Oryctolagus cuniculus: one gene and its partners. The main gene of each other region encodes a partner of the protein of the gene in region 3 in a complex. Links are inferred from orthologs where the notes say so. Each region holds a gene or a part of one and is shown on either strand. Other genes may lie near its edges.

What was found. Proteins that work in one complex are often made in the same cells at the same time.
Region 1: the proteins of CIC (region 3) and ATXN1 are in contact, whole or in part, in an NMR structure (PDB 2M41), measured with the Homo sapiens proteins. The link is inferred for Oryctolagus cuniculus from reciprocal best matches to the Homo sapiens genes CIC and ATXN1. Residues at the interface, in NP_001291744.1 of Homo sapiens: Val943, Phe944, Pro945, Trp946, His947, Ser948, Leu949, Val950, Pro951, Phe952, Leu953, Ala954, Ser956, Gln957; in NP_000323.2 of Homo sapiens: Pro572, Tyr573, Phe574, Ser578, Ile579, Ile580, Gln581, Leu582, Ala583, Leu587, Val590, Leu593, Phe598, Ser601, Ala602, Leu608, Asp611, Ser613, Phe631, Val633, Ala638, Gln639, Val640, Val642, Tyr648, Pro649, Phe650, Phe651, Trp657, Ile683.
Region 2: the proteins of CIC (region 3) and YWHAQ are in contact, whole or in part, in a crystal structure (PDB 6KZG), measured with the Homo sapiens proteins. The link is inferred for Oryctolagus cuniculus from reciprocal best matches to the Homo sapiens genes CIC and YWHAQ. Residues at the interface, in NP_001291744.1 of Homo sapiens: Arg1207, Ser1208, Met1209, Ser1210, Glu1211, Thr1212, Gly1213, Thr1214; in NP_006817.1 of Homo sapiens: Lys49, Arg56, Lys120, Arg127, Tyr128, Gly169, Leu172, Asn173, Val176, Tyr179, Glu180, Leu216, Ile217, Leu220, Asp223, Asn224, Leu227, Trp228.

What each region holds. Positions count from the first base shown.
Region 1 is NC_091436.1:143,606,259-143,609,902, forward strand, and holds part of ATXN1 (ataxin-1), read right to left. Parts: intron 404-3,644; coding exon 1-403. UniProt on the Homo sapiens protein: Chromatin-binding factor that repress Notch signaling in the absence of Notch intracellular domain by acting as a CBF1 corepressor. Binds to the HEY promoter and might assist, along with NCOR2, RBPJ-mediated repression. Binds RNA in vitro.
Region 2 is NC_091433.1:192,537,662-192,541,305, forward strand, and holds part of YWHAQ (14-3-3 protein theta), read left to right. Parts: intron 1-1,393; coding exon 1,394-1,557; intron 1,558-2,138; coding exon 2,139-2,234; intron 2,235-3,384; coding exon 3,385-3,444; 3' UTR 3,445-3,644. UniProt on the Homo sapiens protein: Adapter protein implicated in the regulation of a large spectrum of both general and specialized signaling pathways. Binds to a large number of partners, usually by recognition of a phosphoserine or phosphothreonine motif.
Region 3 is NC_091449.1:12,846,196-12,849,939, forward strand, and holds the start of CIC (protein capicua homolog), read left to right. Parts: upstream 1-1,131; 5' UTR 1,132-1,277; intron 1,278-1,927; exon of another isoform or gene 1,928-2,063; intron 2,064-3,744. UniProt on the Homo sapiens protein: Transcriptional repressor which plays a role in development of the central nervous system (CNS). In concert with ATXN1 and ATXN1L, involved in brain development.

The DNA.
Region 1 (3,644 bases), on a different chromosome or scaffold from region 3:
ACCTCCTCTTCCTCGCGGCCGCGGGCCTGCTGGGTTCTACTTTCGTGAAGAAGGGTGCTGCGGGCAAGCCCATCTTCTCTGGAAACTTCAGTTCACCGTTCTCAGACAGCATCTGAGCGCTTCCCTGATTGAGCCCGTTCTCCTGCTCGGCGTACCTGTGTCTGCTGCCCGCCAGGCTGTCGGTCTTTGAGCGCTTCAGCAGGACACTGGCAGCATCTGCGGGCTGGCCCTTTTTAACAGAGCCATTCTTGGCGTTCTTGAGGGTGAGCGAGATGCAGACGTCACCTACTGAGAGTCTGGAACACGGCAGATCAAAGAGCTGGCTGGTTCTCTCCGGGCAGCAGGACGACCAGCCCTGTCCAAACACAAAAAAAGGATACTCGACCAAGACTTCCACGCTGACCTGTGGGAACAGGGAGAGACAGAGAGGCAGACAGGAGGGAAACCAGTGAGAGCTCTGTATGATTTCCTTCCTTCCCTTCCTTCCCTTCCTTCCCTTCCTTCCCTTCCTTCCCTTCCTTCCCTTCCTTCCCTTCCTTCCCTTCCTTCCCTTCCTTCCCTTCCTTCCCTTCCTTCCCTTCCTTCCCTTCCTTCCCTTCCTTCCCTTCCTTCCCTTCCTTCCTTCCTTCCTTCCTTCCTTCCTTCCTTCCTTCCTTCCTTCCTTCCTTCCTTCCTTCCTCCCCCACTCACACACACACACACAGGCTGCATGTTAATAAATTAGACTCCACTAACAAACTTCCCTTCCCTAGCAACACAACACAATGAGGCCCTTTGCTGCCTGTTGTATCTGCGTTTACTACATAGAGAAGCTGGGCAGGAGCCAATGCAGAAAACGGTCCAGTGAAAAGGTCCATTCAGTATCCAAATACTTCACTTAGCATTAGCTCTATCCCTGGTCTCTGTTAAAACAAGTCAGCTGGGGGTCAGCATTGTGGTACAGCAGGGTTCAGCCGCCGGTGGCAATGCTGGGCTCTCATAGGAGCACGAGTGTGTGGGCTGGTGGCTCTGCTTCCAATCCTGCTCCATGCCAGAGGTGGGGCTACAAGGAGACATTTAAGTATCACAAACAAAGGCAAGGAGAGGGTACGGGATGGGTATTTGCAAAATAGCCAAAGTCTGAAAGGCACCCGATGCTTTTAAGAGTTTAATTCTCATGAAATTAAATTTATTCAACATTATAAAAAATTTAGAGAGAGAGCAATGAAGTAGTTTAAAAAGTCAATTTTCAATGGCTGTTTGAGATGTATTAGACTAGGCAATTTTGGAACAAGCTTCCTACTAAGGAAAACTGGAAGCTGTCAACAACAACAACAAAAATACCATAAAAACAACAAAATTAAAAATTCTGAAGAAAATGTTAAAAAGCATTTTTATCAGGGCCAGTGTTGTGGTGTTGATGCCAGCATGCCATGTTGGTGCCAGTATGAGTCCCAGCTGCTCCACTTCTGATCCAACTCCCTGCTAATGGCCTAGAAAAAGCAGTGGAGGGTGGATCAAGGGTTCAGGCCCCTGCCACCCATTTGGGAGACCCAGAAGAAGCTCCTGGCTTCAGCCTGGCTCAGCCCCAGCCATTGCAGCCATCTCAGGAGTGAACCAGCAGATGACGATCTGTCTGTCTCTCACTCTCTCTGTGTAACTTTCAAGCAAATAAATAAATGAATAAATAATTAAAAAAACACTGTTTAAAGGCACTGGACAGAAATAAGACAGTAAAAAACTTAACTGTGTCAAACCAGAAAAGGATATGATAGCCCACAGATTTGAACCTGGTGGTGTTCCAAGCCAACTTTGAATATTTCAAAGTAGAGCAGTTATAAGATTAAGTGGGCTTCTGGGAATCTCAATAGCATTTTGTGTGTGTGTGTAATGCAGTGCAGGGTACACCAAGGGACGGTGATCTTTGGTGAACCCCGCTTTTTTTTTAAGATTTATTTTATTTATTTGAAAGACAGAGTTACAGAGAGAGGTAGAGACAGAGAGAAAGTCTTCCATCTACTGGTTCACTCCCCAGATGCCCACAATGGCCAGAGCTGCGCCAATCTGAAGCCAGGAGCCAGGAGCCAGGAGCTTCTTCTGGGTCTCCAACTTGGGTGCAGGGGCCCAAGCACTTGGGCCATCCTCCACTGCTTTCCCAGGCCACAGCAGAGAGCTGGATTGGAAGTGGAGCAACCGGGACTAGAACTGGCGCCTATATGGGATGCCGGGCGCTTCAGGCCAGGACATTAACCCACTGTGCCACAGCACCGGCCCCGAACCCCGATTTTTAACCTCTGATCCCAAACACTATGCCTTAAAAGTAAGGGTGCATCAGAAGTGGATAGGCCTTCCAAGGTCTGAAGTCAAATCTTAATCATCTCAGTCTCTAACACTGGATTCAGCTCTTGAATTATTTCCACACTGTTGCAAATACTACATTACCATTCAATTTTGAAAAGGGAGGAAGAATGAGGAGACCAAGAGAGAAGCAAAACTAATAAAGACAAAACATCTGATCATAAGAACAGACCCACAGGGGCTTCTGGTAATCACCAGAGACTTAAAAATGACCCTGCTTACAATATTTCAGGAGATGAAACACAAGCTTGAGGAGTGGGGAGAAAACTAGAATCTTAATTTTTTAAATGATATATTTATTTATTTGAAAGGCAGAGAGAGAGAGAGAGAAAGAGAAAGAAAGAGAGAGAGAGGTCTTCTATCCATCTACTGGTTCACACCCCCAGATGGCTGCAATGGCTGGAGCTGGGCCAATCTGAAGCCAGGAGCTTCTTCCAGGTTTCCCACGGGGGTGCAGGGGACCAAGAACTTGGACCATCTTCCATTGCTTTCCCAAGGCCATAGCAGAGAGCTGGATCGGAAGTGGAGCAGCCGGGACTTGAACTGGCATCCATACAGGATGCCGGCACTGCAGCCAGCGGCTTTACCCGTTATGCCTGCCCCAAGTCTAATTTATTTTTAAAATATTTCTGGACACTCTAGAATGAAAGCACTATATTCACTAAGATCAAGATAATTTTCCAGCTGAATAGACACAGTTGAAGAAAGAATTAGTGAACTGGGTTCTGTAATTGGATTCTGAACTAGATTAAGAGCTTTAGAAGAAACTACAAAAAATGAATCAAAGGTACAAAAAAAGGGGGGGGGCTAATTCAGAGGAGAGCCTAAGAGACAGAAGATACATTGAGAAGGTCTAATAGATGCACAATTTGAATCCTAGGAGGAAAGAGAACTAATACTTGAATTTTCCCAGACTAACAAGAGGGAAGTCACAAACTCAAGAAGACTTAGCCCCAAGAAAGAAGAGTGAGGAAATATCCTCACCCAAGCAGGTTATAGTTAAACTGCTCTAAGCCAGAGACAGGAAAGAAAAATCTTAAAAGCCTCCAGATCAAACAGACATTACCTCAAATCAGTAACAATTACATTCACACTCTCCGTCAACAAAAATAATGGGAGCCGGAAGACAATGGAATATCTTTAAAGTGCTGAGGTAACAGAGTTGCCAATCAAGCATTCTATACAGAGCACAAAGCTTCTTCAAGAATGAAGGCAAAATAAAGACGTTTCAGACAAACAGTAATTAAGGGAACTCACCAGCAACAGAACTGCTCTACAGAAAATACTAGAGTAAGCTTTCAGAAGGA
Region 2 (3,644 bases), on a different chromosome or scaffold from region 3:
GTGGAAGTGTTGCTGAAATTCTGATTGTTTTCCCCAGTGAATTTGTGGTGTTCTTGGTTCTCAGTTCTGCCCCCATCCAGTAACATAGCTGCACAAGTAGATACCAGTGCGACTGAAGCCATAAAGAGGAAACCACTGTACTTGCTCTAACATTTGTGTACAAATTTACTGTTACTGATAGAGAGTTTTTGTTGCCACAAAGGTAAGCAGAGTTGGAAGTGAAAATACTGGCACAGAACTGAGCGTGTAAGTGCCAGCGAGGCAGAGGACGTCTTACTAGGACATTCCTGGCTTGAGGCCGACCTCGGCCCTCTGTCTCGTGGGCACTCTGAGCTCCTGCTTTCAGTCCCTCGGGTGCCATCAGCTGTCTTTCCAGCTGAGCTGACCGCTTCTGCTCTGTGTAGTCCCTCCTTAGATGCCCACAGCAAGAGCCACTTACTGTGGGAGTTGTGATTAGATCAACAATGATGCCGTTTCAGAGGAGGGAAAGTGCACAGTCAAGTCATAAAGGGGTTGCTTAATTTCTGCTATGTCATTGTCTTCAAAAAAGCTGGGGTAGATCCACGGCCTTAAATAGAAAACAAACCCTTTCAAAACAAATATAATCAAGTTCATGTTGGTAATGCTTCCTAATTATTTTTTTTTTAATTTATTTATTTGACAGTCATAGTTACAGACAGAGAGAAGGAGAGACAGAGAGAGAGGTGTTTTATCCGCTGGTTCACTCCCCAAATGGCCACAATAGCCTGAGCTGAGCCGATCCGAAGCCAGGAGCCCACAGCCTCTTCTGGGTCTCCCACTCGGGCACAGGAGCCCAAGGACTTGGGTCATCCTCCACTGCCCTCCCAGGCCATTGCAGAGAGCAGGATCAGAAGTGGAGCAGCCAGGACTCGAACCAGCGCCCATATGGGATGCCAGCACTGCAGGTGGTGGCTTTACACTGCGCCACAGCACTGGCCCCTCCTGAGCATTTTTTGAGGGAGGCTACTCAAAGCAGATTTTGCTGTATTATTGGCACTTTATATTGCCTCACCCAGAGCATCGTAATACCCAGAGCGTCTGTTTGCACAAATAATGTCACAAAAATAGAGGGGTTCTTGTGATGGTGATCTTTGTAATGTGATCTAAAAGCTAGGAAAAAGAAAACAGTTTTAATATCATTGATGGAAGAATCTATATACTGTCTGTAAGCTGACTATAAGCAAGCAACACTATGAGCTAGTTTTAAATATCCAAGACAGGATAAATGTTTGTAGCTTGCTACTGTGGTTTCAGAGGAAGATAACAGAAACATCTGGCTCTGCCAGGAGCTAGTAGCATGTTAAAATTACTCATGTGCTGGTCTCTGGCTGTTTTCCAAAGGATCATGCCTTTTATTTTTTTCTCTTCACAGAAACGATAGATAATTCCCAAGGAGCTTACCAAGAGGCATTTGATATAAGCAAGAAAGAGATGCAACCCACACACCCAATCCGCCTGGGGCTGGCTCTGAACTTTTCTGTATTTTACTATGAGATCCTTAATAACCCGGAGCTCGCCTGCACACTGGCTAAAACGGTAAGATGTGTGTTGATTTCTGGGTTTTCACTTGGATGCTCAGGGATGACTGCTTTCTGTTTATTGACCACCTGAAGGAAGCTAGAGATGAGAAGATGGGATGGCTGCCGGGTGTGGTCGTGGGAGTGGCTGTTTAGTGCATCCCTCAAAGCAGGAGAGTGATGAGGGCTTTTGCAAGTACCTGTTAGTTTTTACGGGAACACGTCTGTTCCCCGTTACTGCTGTATGGCCTGTGAAATGGGTGGTGAGTGTTTGGCCTGCTGATTCATCTGGTCTGGCCCTGACAAGGCAACCCCAGCAGGACTTAGTTTGGTGTATCTATAACAAGCTAATTGTTTCCAAGTTGATTATTTTGTATGGCCCACAGATTATGTCACAGAGCCCCTTGCCAGAAAAAGTTCCTCTACCCCTGCTGTAAGAACCAAGTCCCTGCTTATGAAGCCTGTAGCTCTGCAGTCGCGGGTCACGCTCCCGCAAGCTGTGAAAGTGAGAGTCCGGGGGAGTGATCCCACTGAGCTGGGTGTTCGCGGACAGTTCCTGTCCCTGTGCCGTTGTTGACCGTGGGTGTGGTTACTCCTCAGGCTTTTGACGAGGCCATTGCAGAGCTCGACACACTGAATGAAGACTCCTACAAAGACAGCACCCTCATCATGCAGTTGCTTAGAGACAATTTAACAGTGAGTCCTTTACTCTTCTCGTTTCATTTCCTTTCAGGAACAAAGACAGGTACATTTTGCAGAATGTAAGAGAATCTTTCGTATAAATAATTCTGGACCCCTGGTTTGGTAACTTTTTCTTTGACTAAATGGGATTTTTTTGTTTTTTTACATTAGCACTGTGTTCAGCTTCACTGGCCGGGAAGTTACGAAGGCTCTGCCCTCCTGCCCTCCTGTAGTTGTAAAGGCACAGAAGGATGCTGAGTGAGATAGTTTTGTAGAAAAGTAGAGAGAGGCAAAACTAGTTCTGACCAGATAGACTTCGGAGCTCTGGTCTTGTGTTGTTCTGTCTCTGGAGACAGCTCTTCAGGGAGTTTTGTTTGTTTCAGCATCTTAGCAATAACTTAAAGATTATGCAAGCCTTTCTAAAATTGGCAGTAGCATTTTGATGTTGGTCTAATAAAATCCAGCTTTTTAAACTGATTATACGTCAGTAAACATGGGCTACTCCCTTAGCTTTCCACCGTAACATCAGAGATAGCCTTACAGACAGTTGTCTTAGTTTTAACCTCCTAGTTTAAGAGGCCCTCCCCCATTTTTTAAGATTTATTTATTGAGAGGCAGATGTACAGACAGAGGGAGAGACAGAAAGGTCCTTCATCTACTGGGTCACTCCCCAAATGGCCACAACAGCCAGAGCTGACCTGATCCAAAGCCAGGAGCCAGGAGCTTCTTCAGGGTCTCCCACGTGGTGCAGGAACCTAAGCACTCGGGCCGTCTTCCACTGCTTTCCCAGGCCATAGCAGAGACTGGATTGGAAGAGGAGAAGCCGGGACATGAACTGGTGCCCGTATGGGATGCTGGCACCAAAGGCAGATGCTTAACCTGCTACACCACAGCGCCAGCCCCTGAAGAACCCTTTCTAAACACATAGATACATATGCTGTTCCCTAGCTTCTGCCACCCACTCTGTTTAGAGACCTTTTGAGCAACTCAAGGAATATTGTATTGTGTGTGTCATTTTGTAAAATGCATAGTGAAAGGGTATGCTTTCACGCTGTGAGAGGGGCCCCAGTCAAAGTCTCTATGTGAGGAATTTACTGCTCAGAATTATCGTCACAGGACATGGTGTACTTGTCTACATCGTAACGTCATATGGTTCTCTTTCTAGTTATGGACATCAGACAGTGCAGGAGAAGAATGTGATGCAGCAGAAGGGGCGGAAAACTAAATGGATACAGGGCGTCACCCTCCTTCCCTCCAAGAAACCTTTTTACACATCTCCATTCCTTCCTCCACTTGGATTTCCTATAGCAGAGAAGCCCGCTCATGTGTATGGAAGCAGCTGTTTATAGTCCTTTCACACGCAGCTTTGGGAAAACTCCATTCCTTGGTTTGTGTCTGTCTTGGCCTCCTGGTGTGCAGTTACTG
Region 3 (3,744 bases):
AATGCAGGGACTCGGGTATGGGATGTGGGCGACGCGACGGCTTAGCGTCTGCCCCTGGACCCTCCCGGTGCGTTTCAACCTTCCCCAGACCCAGCATCTACACAATGTGCAGTGTGAGCTAAAAATTCCCCTCAACCCCAGGGCCACCCAGGACGAAGTGGGAACGGGCTTCTAGAATGATGTAAATTAGTAACAGTAGTAGGATACGGATACGCTACAGAGTACGGACTATGGAATAGCACAGGTGGCAGCATAACACTGCTTCCTAGCGTGAACTACTATGCACAGTGAAGCTTCCACAGTCTCAAGGCGTCTCCTCCGTGGACAGTGTTTCCTCGTGGGTAGTGTGAAGGGCTCGCCACACTCACTGAACCCCCTTGGCCGACTGACAGTTCCTCTATGGCTGCAGGCCACGGCCCGATCTCTCACCCGCGGACACTAGGGCCTGCGACAGGTCAGATGCATTTTCTTCAGCACTGGTACAAATCTCGGGCAGACACAGCCCTGGGAGCCCATCACGGACGAAGAGAAACCTCGCGACCGGTGCACCAGGCTGCGGGCAGCCCAGGTCCAGGGCAAGTCCAGTGCGCACCGCACGCACGGGTGCCCTGTGGACGTGTAGACCCCGTGCGTGGGCAGCACGGATCTACTACTAACAGGACATATCCCTCCCCTCCGTATCCACAGTGTGACACTCCCACCCCCGGCTTAAAAAAATCTCCTTCCTCGCGGGTGTAAACACCCACCAAGTGTCGCTCTCCACGGAGGGCCGTGGGAAGTCAGTCCTCTATCTCGGACCCGAGAGGGCGGTCGGCAAACTGCGCCGTCCCGAAAGTCAAAGTCTTGGAGAAGGTGACTTGGCCCCAGGGTCCCCCAGCCCCAGGCCGCACGCGCTGCGGCGCGCGCCACCCCACTAGTGCGCGTCCTCTCCCCTCCCGGTGGCAACAGAGCTTTCCGCGGGGCCGCGCCAGACTTTTCGAGACCCTTGATTGGTCGTGGACCAGGCCGCCGACAGCCAATCAAGCGGGGGAAAGGTGACATCACTGGTTCTCCTCCCCTCCCCCCACCGCAAACTTCCCTACTCTGCTACCGGCAGCAACAACCACGTGGGGGAGGGGTAAGAGAGTAGAACCGGTGAGGTCATTGCGCCGCCCCAGCCACTGCTGATTGGCTGCGGGGTTCGAGGGTGGCGGTTGGTTGCTCCTCGCACCTCCCCCTCGTGCCGCTACCGCCGCCGCCGAGAGGAGCCACTGGCGACGCCAGAGCCAGGAATCCGGGTGAGTTGGGGCCCTGGGTCTAAGATGCTCTTGGTGTCCAGTAACACTCAGTAGGAACTGCCCTTTCCGACTTTTTCTCCTCGCCTGGGCTCTTTGGTGCTCCAGGCACTCTGTCACATGGGAGTTGTAGTCTGCCTAGTATTGTCGACTATGGGCCAGAGACGTGAGAAGACTACGATTCCCAGCAGGAATTGCGACCAGCCGGTCAACAAACGCTCGGGCCACGCCTTCTGAGCCTGCTCATTGGAGGGATCTTTGCTTATCCCCGCCTTCCTTTATTTCATTGGCTACTGTCCCTCTCAGGGGCCGGGTTCCGGCCTATGGAGCATGACGACTGGGTACTGTATTCGTCGTTTACCACTAAGACAGTCTGCAATTGGTCTACGCTGATGTCCATCACTTGTTGTGGGGCAGGGCCCTAGGCAGATCAGGCGGTCGTAGGCTCAGGTTGGTGTCGGTCCGGAGGGAGGCTGGTCTTGGATTTTGGCCCCTCCCCTTAGCGCTGCCCGTTGGGCGCGATTGGTTGCTGTGAACGTCGCTCGTCGCCGAGAGGCGGAGTCAGTCAGGTTGCGAAAATCTATTGGCCTAGGCTGGCGCCGGTCAGCGGGGTTGTGGCCGCTGATTGGCTGGTTACTCCAGCTGTTGCAGGTCCATTCACCATTTTGTGTGTTGGAGTAAAAAAAAAAGGGAGAATCGAGAGGGAGAGCCGGAGGGGGGGCGGGGAGGGACCGGACCGGACCGAGCCGGGGCCAGGGCCCCCGGCCCCGAAACCCCGCTGAGCCCGAGGTGAGGGGCGGGGCCAGGGCTGACACAGCAGGGGGTTGAGGGGGGCTGGGGGCCGAGGGGGGACAGGTGGCAGGGACTGGGAGGAGGGACAGGGGGAAAGGGGTGAGCGGAATGGTGGGAAGGGGAGAAGGAGTGGAGGAAGTGGAGGGGGGAGGGTGATGGCAAAGGTGACTGGGGGACGGGGTGGTGGGCAGAGGACAGGTAACAGGAGTGGAGGGGTGACAGGACTAGATAAGGGTGACAGGGAGAGGGAGGGGACAGAGTTGGAGGGGGTGACAAGGAGAGGTGATGGGGGGAGAAGGTGACAGGTCCAGAGATGGCTGACAGGAGAGTGACTGAGAGTACTAGGAGACAGAGATAAATGGGGGTGGCAAGCAGAGGTGAGAGAGGAGGGGGCCTAGGGTCTGTGAGGAGAGAGGTGGAGGTAGAGGTGGTGACAGGATGAGAGACAGAGTGGCAGAGAGGCTGGTTCCAGTAGGGCTGGTGGGAGCAGAGGGCACAAGACCCCAGAGGGCCAGGGCCTGGGCTGGCCTGGGCTTGAAGAGGGACTGCTGAGATCCTGAGGGAGGTGAGGGCCCACGGGGCCTTGGGGCTGGGGGCGTCCTCCAGAGAGAGGTGGGCAGAGAGTAGGCCCCAGGGGAAGCAAAGAGGCTTGGCTTCTGAGGTGAGTTGGCTGGACCAGGCAGCAGGGTGCAGGGGTGCCCTGCAGTGTGGCTGTAGGCCCTGGGTGGGGTATGCAAAGGTTTGTGTTTGGGTAGGACTGGGGCCAGATCTCAGTCCCCCGGATGGTGACCCGGCAGCTCGGGGAGGCACTGATGGCTGCCCAACTCCCAGGGCACTCGGGGGGCAGCGTGGGGCCCTCCAGGCTCTGTCTGTGAGGGCCACGGGACTGGCCCAGAGAAGGGGCAGGCCTGGGACTGCAGGGTCCACGAGAACAGCAGGACCTGAGTGGAGGGCCTGAAGTTAGGGTCCCCGGAGAGCCCCAAGACAGAGTCGGGGTGCCTCTGGTCGTGTTGGATCCTGGTCCTAGCCCCCCGCCCCTCCTGGGGGCCCCGTCTTTGCCTCCCAGGTTCTCTTAGTCACTTCACAGTGAAGTTTTTTCCCCTTTTCTCAGGGCAACTTGAAAGGGGGCGGGCAGTAATGACTGTTCAGGAAGTGGGTGAGGTTGGCTGGCTGGGCTTGTCCTGCTTCCTTTGACCTTATCCCACTTATCCCCACCTGGAGTTGGAGGGCTTATGTGGGGGCCTGAGGGGGCTGGGACACTCAGCCACCCTGCCAGAGACAGCCCAGCCAGGGCGGGATACATGCAGGCCAGGAACGGGAGGCGGGGGAGAAGGGGGGGCTGGGCTTGCTGCTGTCGGGCTGGGTGCTGTGGGGGAGGGGCGGGCTCCCATCCAGGGGGACCGAGGAGCCCTGGGGTGCAGCTCTGTGTCCCGCTGTGTGATGACGTGTGTGCCAGTGTGTGTGTGTTTGTGCGCGTGCGTGCACTCATGCATGCCCCGTGGCAGTGCTGGGTGTGAGCTCTTGCACCAGACGTGCCCCTGCCTGCTCTCTGCCAGGATCTGGGGACAGGGTTGTACCTGGCAGGCCCGGGGTGCAGGGCAGAGTGGGCAGCCGTCTCTGAGGACTCTGAGCCTGGCCTCCCTTTACCACAGTGCCTGGCCGTGTCAGGCTGCCCAGA